3 linked regions of the Arabidopsis thaliana genome follow. The protein of the gene in region 1 purifies or fractionates together with the protein of each later gene. This does not show direct contact. Each region holds a gene or a part of one and is shown in the gene's direction. Other genes may lie near its edges.

Region 1 (4,612 bases):
TGATTAAATTACTTAATCTCTAATGCGGATTTTATCTTCTTTTCCATGTAGTTAATTTCTGCGTTTCACTGACTATAATGAGTAATTTTAAGAATCAGCTTTTTTAATCCTAACTGTTGTTGTATACTACTACTCTAGATTGCTCTGAGACGGGAAAAGATGGGAGAAACCGCTCCGTTTTGGAGATTTTCAGCGGCATCATATCCACATCTTGTAAAGGAATCATCTCATGAGACTGTTGCAGAGAAAACAAAACTAGCATTGACTGGAAATGGCAATGCATCATCCGGGGTATAGAAATATTAGCTAATTTATTTTCTCCCTGTGTATATCTAAGCACTAGTAGATTGAACGAGATTAACTGATACTTTATTTTAGGGTGACGTTTATCCAGTGGAACCCTATAACGATTTCAAACCGGTCCTTGACGCTCATTGGGGAATGGTCTACGATGAAGATGTAAGACACGTTTCTCGGATACTGCATTCGTTTTATAATTTTCTTTTTGATCCAGTAAATCCTTCGAAATTAGAGGTCAAAGTGAACTAAAACTGTTTACCTTTTTGCAGTCGAGCGGACTTCGGTCCCACACATTATCTTTACTTGTGGCCAACGTTCCCGGAGTTCTCAATCTAATAACTGGAGCTATCTCTAGAAGAGGTTATAACATCCAGGTTATTATGCACACACTTTTGCTTTTAGCTTCACCGATGTGATGCATACTACTCATTTCTCTCAAGAGTATGTGAAAGTTGTTGCTTTTATTGCTCTAGAGTCTAGCTGTTGGTCCTGCTGAGAAAGAGGGCTTATCTCGGATTACAACAGTTATTCCCGGAACTGATGAAAATATAGATAAATTGGTTAGGCAGCTCCAGAAGTTGATTGATCTTCAGGAGGTGAGCTAATGATTCGAAACCGTAGTGTACTTTGGTTTTAATTTTAATTTTATATGTCTAATAACGTTTCCCTTTCATTGGCTTTTCTAGATCCAAAATATAACGCACATGCCATTTGCGGAGCGAGAACTGATGCTCATCAAAGTAGCTGCTGATACTTCTGCAAGGAGAGATGTTTTAGATATTGCTCAAGTTTTCCGTGCTAAAGCCATTGATGTCTCTGATCATACTATCACCCTTGAGGTGCTGATATCATATCTCCCTGAACTTTACAACAAAAAGCTCTCGTAGCTTTCTGATATTTCAAGCTTGAGATGAGATCTAGTAGCTGATGAAATCCGTCGATTTGCAGGTTACAGGGGATCTCAGAAAAATGTCTGCATTACAAACGCAGTTAGAGGCCTATGGAATCTGCGAGGTTAAAAAAAAGTTTCTTGATTTATCTCTAATCTCTTCACAGACACGGTCACTGTTGTGTCTGGCGATTCTTATGGTTTGTGTTTTATGAAAATTGAAGGTGGCTCGGACAGGAAGAGTGGCATTGGTAAGAGAATCTGGAGTGGATTCGACTTATCTTCGTGGATACTCTCTTCCTTTGTAGTTCTAGAGGTTAGTAATCTCTTTTATAATCACAGATGCATCATGCATTGTTGTCGTTTTACATCATCATCATCTGTGTTATATATCAAAGGAAATTCTTGTGCAGAGGACTTGCCGCAAGCTTCAGTGTCGTTCCTGGAAACTAGTCAAAAGGACTGCACGTTGTTTCAGCATCTGTGATTGATTGCTTCCTCACGAGTCATGGCGCTTCGAGTTGTTGTTATAGGAGGAGCTATTTTATGAACTAAAAATAAATAATTATCTTTGTTCCGTTAAATTAGTTTTGCATACTAATCAAATGTAGAACACTGTTACTAGTTTGTCACTTATTTAGTATCAAAGACGTGTATTAGTATATACTCCAATCGATCTTAACTTAACAATTAAGCTCTAACCGGACCGGACTTGGTTAGATCTTAACTTAACAATTAAGCTTTAACCGGACCGGACTTGGTTAGAATCCTTCCTTGCGAACCAAATTAGGGCAAACTTGTAATATTGAGGAAACGTTTAATTCTTTTCGTGTTTCTTCTTCGCAGCAATTGCAGAAACTTAAAAAAAAAAACTCAAAAATTAGATCTTAATTCGAGGATTCTACTTCTGAATCTGAGGAAAAGCTATCCCAGATCCGATCAGATCTGTTTTGTTGATTCTCTTCTTCTTCAGTCAGTGGAAGCTATGATGGATTGCTAAAAGAGAATACAATACGCACGAAGCCACGCTTGAGAAACCATGAGAATGTCATCAGCTTCCGCCGGGGAATACCGGCCTTCCGCCGTAAGTCTCAGCAGTAACGGAGGTGGTCAACGAGATGCTGAGTCTCTTTTTCGCACGAAACCAATGTCGGAGATTCGAATTGTGGAGTCGGCGACTAGGAAGAACATCGAGGATAAGAAAGAGGAGCTTCGGCAACTCGTTGGGACTAGGTACCGTGATCTAATCGACTCAGCTGACTCGATTGTTCACATGAAGTCGCTCTGTGAGTCGATCTCAGCCAATATCTCTTCGATCCACGGTAACATTCGATCGCTTTCTTCTTCTTCTGTAGCGGAAACTCCTAAGCTTGCTAGCCTTAACCCAGTACGAGTCAATGTCTATGGGATCGCTTGTCGTGTTAAGTATCTGGTGGATACGCCTGAGAATATATGGGGATGCCTTGACGAGTCTATGTTTCTAGAGGCTGCGGGGAGGTACATGCGTGCTCAGCATGTGCAGCAGAGACTGATCAAGTTGGAGGGATGTGGTGGTGGTGTAGCAGAGGTGGATCAGAGTAAGCTGTTGGCGAATTTTCCACTATTGGAGCACCAATGGCAGATAGTTGAGAGTTTTAAGGCTCAGATTTCGCAGAGGAGCCATGAGCGGCTTCTAGATCCGGGTTTAGGACTGGGAGCTTATGTGGATGCCTTAACTGCTGTCGCGGTGGTTGATGAGCTTGATCCAGAGCAAGTGCTTGAGTTGTTTCTAGACTCGAGGAAGACTTGGATTCTGCAAAAGTTGAATGCTTGTACTGGTGAGGATGCGGGTGAGGTTGTTTTGGTGTTTTGTGATGTGTTAAGTGTGATTCAGGTTACAGTGGGACAAGTTGGGGAACTCTTCTTGCAAGCCTTGACTGACATGCCTCTATTTTATAAAACAATCTTGAGTACCCCTCCAGCTTCTCAACTGTTTGGTGGAATTCCGAATCCAGAGGAAGAGGTTGAGTTGTGGAAATCCTTCAGAGATAAACTGGAATCCGTTATGCTCATCCTTGATAAAAATGACGTTTCTAAGTCTTGTCTGACTTGGTTGAGGGAATGCGGTGGACAGATTGTTGGTAAGGTTAGTGGGAAGCATTTGATTGAAGCTATAGTTACTGGCGCGGAGCTTGGATCAGCCGAAAAGTTGATAAGGGAGACCATGGATAGCAAAGATGTCTTGAGGGGTAGTTTGGATTGGCTTAAAAGTGTTTTCGGGTCTGAGGTAGAGTTGCCTTGGAATAGAATCCGAGAGCTTGTTCTGGGGGATGATTTGAACCTATGGGATGAAATATTTGAGAAGGCCTTTGTGGAAAGGATGAAATCTATCATTGACTCCAAATTTGAGAATTTGACTAAAGCTGTCAATGTAGCAGATTCGGTACATGCTTATAGTGAGATTACTGGTGAGAAAATCAACTTCCAAGCATACTTAAACAGACCTTCTACAGGTGGTGGTGTCTGGTTCATTGAGCCTAATTCAAAGAAAGTTGGTCTTATTTCCGGAAATAAATCATCACCTGAAGAAAGCGACTTCCAAAGTTGTCTAACTGCGTACTTTGGTCCTGAAGTTAGCCAAATGAGAGATGCAGTTGATAGGCGCTGCCATAGTGTTTTGGAAGACCTCCTAAGCTTCTTCGAGTCAGAAAAGGCAGGTCCAAGGTTAAAGGATCTTGCACCATACGTGCAGAATAAGTGTTATGACAGTGTCTCAGCACTTCTTGCAGATGTAGATAAAGAACTTGAATTTCTATGTGCTGCCGTGAAGAAAGAGAACAAGGACAGTGAAGCAATTCCACCTGCTATAATAATTGAGAAATCACTTTTTATGGGACGCCTTTTGTTTGCATTGCTGAACCACTCAAAACATGTTCCCTTAATTCTCGGTTCTCCAAGATTGTGGTGTAGAGAAACTATGACTGCAGTTTCTGATAAGTTGTCATCCTTGTTGAGGCAGCCAAGATTTAGCTCGAATACTCCAGCCACTGCTGACAGCCCTGGAAAGCAATTGCATACCGATCTTAGAAAGCAGACTTCATTAGCTGTTGCTGCACTACTGGGAGCGGAAGAGAAAACAAGTCCAAAATTTGAAGAGCTTAATAGAACTATGCGAGATCTGTGCATCAAGGCTCATACATTGTGGATAAAGTGGTTATCTGATGAGCTTTCAGCTATTCTCTTGCGTGATCTTAGGAGTGATGATGGATTGTCTGCTACAACTCCTTTAAGGGTAACTAAATATGTTTTTATCCTTTGTCTGTATTTTCTTGTCTTTTATTTCGTTCTGCTTAGTTGTCTCTCCTGCATCGGTTTAGAAAGAGCTGACTAAATCGACAGAGGTAGTTAGTTTGCTTATGTCCTATGTTGAAATTCTTTGTTTTT
Region 2 (4,612 bases), on another chromosome or scaffold:
AATGCTCTTAACGGTATTTTGCTTTCCGCGTATGCATCATTCCGTATATTTCATGAATTAGTGCTTACAGCGAAAAACATTTCCTTCCAGGGAGCTGTCATTGCAGATCTTCGTGTTAGTATAACTCCTGCTGTTAACTATCAGCTACCACCAGAAGCCCTTGCACTTGACTCGGTAAAGACCGGAAACTCTTTGATTTATTCGTTACTCTCTCGGTGTTCATGTTGTTTCCTCTGTGTAGCAGGAACATTCGTTTAATGGTTTTTCTGTCAAGAAAGCTGAAGATGTGGTGAACATCATGGTGGGAAGAGGTTATGCTCTTGGAAAAGACGCCATGGAGAAAGCCAAAGCATTTGATGACAGACACAACTTGATCTCAAACGCTTCTGCAACCATTGCATCGCTTGACGATAAGATGGGTCTGAGCGAAAAGCTAAGCATAGGAACAACTGTGGTTAATGAGAAGTTGAGAGATATCGATGAGCGATATCAGGTGAGGGAGATAACGAAATCTGCTTTAGCAGCTGCTGAAGAGACAGCAATCAGTGCAAGAACGGCTTTAATGGCAAACCCTTATGTATCAAGTGGAGCTTCGTGGTTTTCAAACGCGTTTGGCGCAGTGACAAAGGCGGTTAAAGAGAAAGTTGAGAATGGAGGAGAAGGAAGAAAGGAGATCATCACACTTGATCCCTCTTCACCCAAAGTTCCTGCTGTAGTTCCTGTTAAGCTCGGTTGATGCAGATCTCATCAAACCAATCGGATCTCGACTAAATTCTTTGATAGGTTTGTTGTTCATATATATGCTTTCGTATGCTAAAGAGAAGATAAAAAGACATAAACCATGAAAGGTGTTGTTACATTCAACCAGCATTTGTTCCTCTCTTGAAAGAGATTATTAAGATTCAAGCAAAATAGCAAATAACTTGCAGGAACCATCAATGAGAAAATGGTCTCAAGAACTGAGTTGAAGAAACCTCTGTGCCATTGGATGCGTAGCGTGCGAAAGCTCACTTGGTTTAAGAACTTCAACAATCTCTCCGTCGACAACAAGGCAAACGATATCAGCAACTTTCTGAATCTGCTTGATACTGTGAGAAACAATCACAGTAGTAATCCCTCTCTGCTTCTTCAGTTTCACTATAACATCCTCAATGTTCTCTGTCGATATCGGATCAAGAGCACTTGTTGGTTCATCGAGCAGCAACACCTCAGGCTCGTTGGCTAGAGTCCTTGCAAGTGCTACTCGTTGAGCTTGACCCACAGATAACTCTGCACCAGTCTTCTTAGCAAAGGAAGCATCAAGGTCTGCAAGACTTAGCAGCTTATAAACCTCTTCGTCACTTAGTTTCTCCCCTCTCAAATTCGGACCATATCTCACATTATCCGCAACAGTCCCTGTAACCAACCACACATTATCAAGACCTATGAAACTAGAGGCTAAGCAAATCCCAAAATTTGATTATTACCTTGAAAAAGAACAGGAAGCTGAAAAAGCATTCCAACTCTACGACGAAGAGCAATAACATCAACGTTGGTTATATCTTCACCGTCCAAGAACACAGTTGACTCCGGTGGTTCCCAAAGACGATTCAGAGATCTCAAAAACGTTGACTTTCCACTTCCACTAGGTCCAATCACACCAACGATCATACCTTTTGGTATATCTATCGTAACTCCTTTCAAGATCCGAGATCCATCATCGGCGACTCGGGTCAGATCATGTACCCGAATCTTTGGTTCTGAACCAGACACAACAACATCCACAAGATGCTCTCGTAATGATCCATCGGATTCGTTAGACCAAAGTGATGGCATGGCTTTAAAGTTTTCAACTTTTTTTGATCAAAACACTCACTTAACGAAAAGATTTGTGTCCGTATATGAACAATAAGAATCAGTCAATTGATATTGACAATTTATTATTCTTACACCACTTAGTGGCCAACTTTTAGGACCAATCTCTGACATTTACATAATTTATGACATCACGAGATTTAGAGGAGGAATTGTTTTTTTTTTTTTTCACATCCAGATACAAATTCCCTACATGACTACATCTATCACTTGACTATGCCAGAAATGATAATTCCGGTTCGTAGATAACCAACAAAATTCAGACACAGAAATTAAAGTAGACCGGTTCACTATCGTATAACTTCGCTTTGAGTTTTTTTTTTTTTTTTTTGGTGTTTCAGAGATTAACTTTGAAAAATGAGTATCGCTTTGATCTCCTGCTAAAATCGCCATTGCAAAATTCAAAACCTGTAGAGATTGAAACTGTAAAAAAATGGCACTACCTCCATCGTCTCCTTCACCATCATCTCCATCTCTTCAACGTCTCTCCACCTTCAAAAACCCTCCTCCTTCTTCACTCTCCTCCGGCGCACCACCACCACAAACACCGTCATCTTCCTCTTCTTCGCCGCTCGATTCTTTTGCCACCGATCCAATCCTCTCCCCATTCCTCTCATCTTCCTTCTCCTCCGCATCATTCTCCTCCGCCGCTCTCGCTTCTGGATCTCCGGCCTCCACCGCCGAACGTCTCCACCAAGCAATCCGCCTCCTCGATTCACAGCTCCGTAATGACGTCATCTCTCGTCACCCTGAATTGCTCGCTCAGCTCTCTTCTCTCTCACACGCCGATGTATCTCTCTCTTCTCTCCGATCCTCCGTCTCTTCACTCCAATCTTCAATTCGCCGTGTCAGATCCGACCTCTCTGAACCGATCAAATCGATCCGATCTAAATCTGTTCAGCTATCTAATCTCCATACAGCTACTGAGTTACTATCTCACTCCGTTCGTACGCTTCGTCTCTCTAAGAAGCTTCGAGATCTAGCGGATTTTCCTGATCCAGATAAGATCGATCTCACTAAAGCTGCACAGTTCCATTTCGAGATCTTAACAATGTGTAAAGAGTATGATCTCTTTGGCATTGATGTGATTGATGAGGAAATCAAGTTTGTTACTGAGATTGGAGAGAAATTGAGATCTGAAGCTATGAAGGTGTTGGAGAGAGGCATGGAAGGGTTGAATCAAGCTGAAGTTGGGACTGGTTTGCAAGTTTTCTATAACCTTGGAGAGCTTAAGTCTACGGTGGATCAATTGGTGAATAAGTATAAGGGAATGGCTGTGAAGAGTGTGAGTGTTGCTATGGATATGAAAGCTATTACTTCTGGCTCAGGTGGTGGCTTCGGGCCTGGTGGGATTAGGTCTAGCGGATCACCGCATATTGGTGGTGGTGCTAAAGTTAGGGAGGCGTTGTGGCAGAGGATGGCTAGTTGTATGGAACAGTTGTGTTCACTTGTAGTTGCTGTGTGGCATTTGCAGCGTGTACTGTCTAAGAAGAGGGATCCATTTACTCATGTCCTTCTTCTTGACGAAGTCATCAAGGTGCGGAATTTAACTGGAATTTTAGGCTCCCTGAGTTTGTTTATTCGTTAGTTAAAGATATTGTCAATGTCCTGAGGAATAAGCTGCATTAGATCATTGAGAGGATCAGAGTTTCTTGTCACTTTTAGCGAGCTCGATGATGTTTGAACAATTTAAGTAGATGATCCTTCAATGTTTTTGCATCAAAAGGAAGTTTTGGGATGGGTTTCTGTGGTGTCAGGGCTGTTGATTAGTTTAGATTCCAACTTTTTAATTGGTTTTATTGCTTACATGAAGTGTTTATATGCACAGGAAGGCGATTCTATGTTAACCGATAGAGTCTGGGATGCACTTGTGAAGGCTTTTACTAGCCAAATGAAGTCTGCATACACAGCTTCGAGTTTTGTAAAAGAAATATTCACCATGGGATATCCGAAGCTTGTGTCTATGATAGAAAATCTTCTTGAAAGGATTTCTCGTGATACAGATGTTAAAGGAGTGTTACCTGCCATTAATTTAGAAAGGAAAGAACAAATGGTTGCATGCATTGCTATATTCCAGACTGCTTTCTTATCCCTATGCTTTGGCCGCTTGTCAGACCTTGTAAACTCGATATTCCCTATGTCGAGCCGTGGGAGTTTACCTTCGAAAGAACAGATTTCACAGGTATTATCACACATTCAAGATGAGATTGAGGCTGTTCATCCAGATGCTCGTTTGACTCTTCTAGTTTTGCGTGAGATAGGCAAGGCCCTTAGTAACCTAGCTCAACGAGCTGAGTGCCAGGTATGATAGACCTCTTGTTGGTTATTGTCCTCTTGTTATGTGCGATAGCTCCCTTAGTATGGTATCAATTTGTGCTTGTATTATATAGAAATTCTTAAAGTTGCATACAGTTGTATAGGAGAGATTGAGTACAAAGTAATAATTCGTGGGGCAATTATAATTTCTTCCAGACAGAAATGAAGAGAATTAGAGCTACATCTACCTCTACTATGCAAATATATACGTGTTAACTACCTGACATAATTAGAGTTAACAGTGTAAAGAAGTTATTCTGCTACTTATGCGTTTATGTTTGAAATGTAACACAGCTACACTTATATTGCAGATTTCTACAGGCCCTGAGACGCGGCAGATATCAGGTCCTGCGACTTCAACACAGATCAGGAACTTCACATTATGTCAGCATCTGCAAGGAATCCACACACATATCTCATCCATGGTAGCGGACCTTCCCAG
Region 3 (4,612 bases), about 16 Mb from region 1:
TATTGCTTAAACTTAACCTCGGAAGTAAAAGACCACTCTTACCTTGAGAGAAAGAACAAGAAGAATGTAGATATTGAGAACAAAACTTGCCAGCAATGCAATTGTAGTGTGAGAACTCAGAAGAAGCTCAAGGGTATTCTCAGAATTCCCTAAAGAAATGTTCTTGGTGATTATCCCATCAGCTCTAAGTCTATCAAGAGACAACTCCGTCCAGACTTGTAAACCCACAAAGCTCAAAGCTGTTGTTGCCACGGAAATGTGCAAATATGTTATCCCCATTAGAAACTATTATAGCCTTCTCACTCCGAATTAACCCACAGATTCTCATTTAGCATGACGTCCCCTGCATCAACATGATTTTGCATAAGCTAAGCAAACCAAAAGCTTATGTAAGTTAGAGAATTGAGTTAAAAAGTTTCAATTTTTTTATAACGTAGGCCAATCGAAGCAAGTAAAATTCAAAACCATGATCACGAAGTTCATAGGATACTGCAATTGAGAGAGATATGTATTAAATAAGTAAAATTGAAGAAACTGGGAAATTCAATTAACCAAAGGAGAGAGATGAGCTGAAAGATTGAGGTCAATAGAAGAAAATATGAAGATAATGGTGGATTCTGCAGAGAGCGAAATGGATCAAAACCTGAGTTCGCGATTGGAAAATTCTCCTCAGCACCGGCAATTGCGTCCTCTTTTTGTCTCTCTTTCTCGATGGACAAGGAAAAATGAAGAATATAAAATGCGGAAGAAAAAAACTCAAAATAATAAACCATGCGGTAAATAAAAAGTTACTTAAATTTGACGATGCCGACACGAACGAGTTCTATGGTCACCGAAGTGGTTCCAAAGAAGTAAAGCTATAAAGAGCGCGCTTTGCCAAACAGAGGTGAAAAAAAAACGGTAGCAAAATTCTCTAATAGTCTTGTCCCACAACCTTCTTCTGGTTGCTGAGACCTATATCAACATTTCCAGCACATTCAAAATCAGTTACTTGGTATCAATTTGATGTATCATCCCCTTATAAAACCGAGTTTGAACATCGAGAATGAGCATCGAATGTATCGTTGATCATGGCTCTGTCCAGCATGTTTGATAACACCACCATAGTCCATAGGTATAATGATAGAAAATCGTCCTAGCAGACTCTTTTTCTCCATAAATAATATCCAAATAACTTCAACTATATCATAGTTGCTACGATATTCATATCCAGAATCCGATATCAAGAATTTGGGAAACAAAATCCGAACCTATGATATGAAAGTAGTCAAACGTACATAGATCATTGATGTAACGAAAAAAGTCAAAATCCCGAACACATAGGACCGTGGGAAATGTCATTCTCCTTGATTCACCAAAGGACACCTTAAAGTTCACAAATTCACTCACTTACTTCCATTCCATCTCAAACAATCCAAAATAAAACACTCTAGTCAACGTTTATGTGACGAATATTGTTACGCTCATCCTCTTTAATCTTTGGAATCACCACTTTCAACACACCATTCTTCATTTCCGCCTTAATCTCATCAGTCTTGTATACTTTCTCCGGTAACTCAATCCTACTCGTAAACCTCCGTCCATCTCCAGAAACATCTTCTCCCTCCTCTGTTTCCCCTTCTCCTCTAATCACCAATGTGTTCTGTTCCAAAGCCAATTTCACATCCTCTCTGCTTAGTCCCGGCATATCTATCCTTAGATGCAACGCGTCGTCTTTCTCTTTCACGTTCCAACCACGTCTAACTCCAGAAGCTCCCATTCCACGAGTAGCTGATACCAAAGGGATTTCGCTTACCTGGTCCATGAAATTCAGCATCTGGCTCAAGCTTCTCGTTGGAGTAAACGGATCGAGTATATCTGTTTGAAAAAACAACCAAATTTTCAGATTCAACAGATCTCCAAAACAAAGTTAGATGTACTCTATACATAAATCACTAAACATGTATCAAATTGGGAAAATCTATAGCGAAATTGGACGGAGGAACCATGGATTTACGTGAGAAGAAATCGCCGCCGTGGCGAGAAACATGTCGGTTTGAGTGATGGTTCCTATCGACACCGTCTTCATAGTTTCTGGCGGCGTTGGTATTGAAGAGGCGAGATGAAGCAGCCACCGGACGAACGGCTCTTAAGGCGCGAGGGACGGCGACGGTGGAAGAAGAGAGAAGTCTCCTGAGAGCTAAAGCCGATGATGACGCCATTTTTGGAAAGAGAAGAAGCTTAGAATTAGCAAGTGATTAATTATTTTCAAGCTCGATGAGATATTTTTTATACTCTTTGAACGAAAAAAAAGCTGTTAGAGAAAGGTTTATATAGAACAGAGAGTAGAAGAAGCTGCTAGAGGCTAGAGAGTCGCTTAAGGATGGTTCTAGAACTGCGTGGTCTCCAAGTAAAATAAAGAAAAATAAAGAAAAAGAAAGAAGAAAACTTTTTCCGTGACGGCCCATCACTTTGGGGCCCAGATTTGTAAATTTATCTTCCGTTTACTTTGGTTTGGTTTTAAAGTCGAATTTGAAAGTCGGTTTAGATCGATTTGGTTTAGTTTCTTCTTCAGTGTATCTGCGAAATCAGAGGATCTTCTTCTCTTCAACATCATCATCGTCGAAGCTGAAGAGAATCTAAGGTAAATCGGGTGATCGGATCAAGGATGATGCTGGATCTAGGTCCATTCTCAGATGAGAAGTTCGATGCGAAGCGATGGGTTAACTCGTCGTGCCAGGCGCGTCACCCACAGGATTCACTCGAGAAACATCTTGTGGATCTGGAAATGAAGCTTCAGATTGCCTCCGAGGAGATCGGAGCTTCTCTTGAAGAGCAGAGCGGTGGTGCTCTCCTCCGTGTTCCTCGTGCCACACGAGACGTGTTGCGTCTCCGTGATGATGCTGTGTCTCTGCGTGGTTCTGTTGCTGGAATCCTCCAGAAGCTCAAGAAGGTACGCATTTGTGCTGATTCCTGAGATTTTGTTTGGATCTCTTCTCGAAAATTAGATTATATCAAATTCCTGAAACTTGTGCTCTTATCGAATTCGGTACTCTGCAGGCAGAGGGTTCTTCAGCAGATTGTATAGCTGCGCTTGCTAGAGTGGACAATGTCAAACAGAGAATGGAGGCTGCCTACAAAACACTACAGGTTAGTATTCATAGTGATTTTGTGATCCATTATGTGGACACTTGGGGGTAGATCTGCAATTGATTCTCTTCTTTTTGGTATATGTACAGGATGCTGCAGGGTTAACTCAGTTAAGCTCGACGGTTGAGGATGTATTTGCTAGTGGCGATCTTCCTCGTGCTGCAGAAACTCTTGCTAGCATGCGAAATTGCCTGTCTGCTGTTGGAGAGGTAGTTTTATGTCAGCTTCAGTACTCTGAGGATTTAAGTCTTTTTCCGTCACCACTTAAAGTCCAATTTTTGTCAACAGGTTGCAGAATTTGCTAATGTGAGAAAGCAACTAGAGGTATTGGAAGATAGGCTGGAGGCGATGGTGCAGCCACGTCTTACTGATGCATTAACATATCACAAGGTTGGAACCTGTATATCTAGAGAACCCAACTACTTTAGGTTGTAATGTCTCTGTTGCCATTATTGGACTGAAAAGCCTTTCCCCAAATTTGGCAGGTTGATGTCGCCCAAGATTTGCGAGTAATTCTCATCCGGATTGGGAGATTCAAGTCTCTGGAGTTGCAATATTCAAAAGTCCGTCTAAAGCCGATTAAACAACTCTGGGAAGATTTTGACACAAAGCAAAGGGCAAACAAGCTTGCCAATGAGAGAAGTGAAAGTCAAAGGTTGTCTAGCGGCGATGAGTTTCAGTCGACATCATCTCAGACATCATTTGCCAGTTGGCTGACAAGCTTTTACGACGAGTTGCTACTCTATCTTGAGCAAGAGTGGAAATGGTAAATGTTTTACTTTTATTTACAGTAAACTGTATATATTTTCCGGGCCCTTCCAGTGACAGTATGTCAGATCTTTAGGTGATTGCAGCTTTAAGTATCAATCACTGTTGTACGTTTTTGCTTTCATGATTGTTTAGGTGTATGGTTGCCTTCCCTGATGACTACATGACTCTCGTCCCAAAGCTGTTGGTTGAGACCATGGGAGTACTGGGGGCTAGTTTTGTTTCTCGTCTTAACCTTGCAACTGGAGATGCTGTTCCTGAAACAAAAGCACTCGCCAAAGGTTAGATATGATGTCAGTACAGTTTGATTATTAGGTTTCCTTCTTAGTCTAGTCTTTTTACCCAGCTGAATTGGGATTGCGTTGCTTCTTTAGTGGTTCTACTCTACCATCCTCATGTTTGGGTAGATAGATGTAAGAAGAGTATCACTTTTTTCTGCCTTTACATGAGCTAAAGTTTTTGGCTGTTCTTGTTAAGTTTGTAATTTTTGTGCATAGTGGCCGATGTCATGAATCTGTCAATATGCAAGAGAGACTTGCAGGAAGTTTGAACAACAACTTATTTGTTACATTTTTCATTTAGTCACTGGAAATTTTCCAGACAATGCACGATTATCTTCAATTGACTTATATCTGTATTTTGTGTATTTAGGAGAATACTGACAATTCTGATGTTTTCCTTGAACAGGTGTGATGGATCTATTATCTGGAGACTT

The links.
Region 2: the proteins of AT5G16300 (region 1) and AT1G67930 fractionate together in Arabidopsis thaliana (co-fractionation; one large-scale study listed by BioGRID). This does not show direct contact.
Region 3: the proteins of AT5G16300 (region 1) and EYE fractionate together in Arabidopsis thaliana (co-fractionation; one large-scale study listed by BioGRID). This does not show direct contact.

The regions. Positions count from the first base shown.
Region 1 is NC_003076.8:5,335,891-5,340,502, forward strand, and holds the start of AT5G16300 (Vps51/Vps67 family (components of vesicular transport) protein), read left to right. Parts: upstream 1-2,004; 5' UTR 2,005-2,228; coding exon 2,229-4,460; intron 4,461-4,612. Other genes in the region: VAT1 (VALINE-TOLERANT 1), read left to right, coding at 139-291, 379-459, 570-674, 774-896, 987-1,139, 1,249-1,314, 1,414-1,497.
Region 2 is NC_003070.9:25,475,008-25,479,619, reverse strand, and holds the start of AT1G67930 (Golgi transport complex protein-like protein), read left to right. Parts: upstream 1-2,074; 5' UTR 2,075-2,287; coding exon 2,288-3,391; intron 3,392-3,682; coding exon 3,683-4,156; intron 4,157-4,481; coding exon 4,482-4,612. Other genes in the region: AT1G67950 (RNA-binding (RRM/RBD/RNP motifs) family protein), read left to right, coding at 1-13, 91-174, 245-736; ABCI17 (non-intrinsic ABC protein 3), read right to left, coding at 953-1,395, 1,467-1,815. UniProt on the Arabidopsis thaliana protein: Required for normal Golgi function.
Region 3 is NC_003076.8:20,888,831-20,893,442, reverse strand, and holds the start of EYE (conserved oligomeric Golgi complex component-related / COG complex component-like protein), read left to right. Parts: upstream 1-2,435; 5' UTR 2,436-2,647; coding exon 2,648-2,932; intron 2,933-3,039; coding exon 3,040-3,129; intron 3,130-3,218; coding exon 3,219-3,338; intron 3,339-3,417; coding exon 3,418-3,519; intron 3,520-3,614; coding exon 3,615-3,895; intron 3,896-4,032; coding exon 4,033-4,178; intron 4,179-4,584; coding exon 4,585-4,612. Other genes in the region: RIN3 (RPM1 interacting protein 3), read right to left, coding at 43-279; AT5G51440 (HSP20-like chaperones superfamily protein), read right to left, coding at 1,430-1,857, 1,997-2,201. UniProt on the Arabidopsis thaliana protein: Required for normal Golgi function. Necessary for embryo development and pigmentation, especially for the expansion of cells and organs, and for the formation of the organized shoot apical meristem (SAM).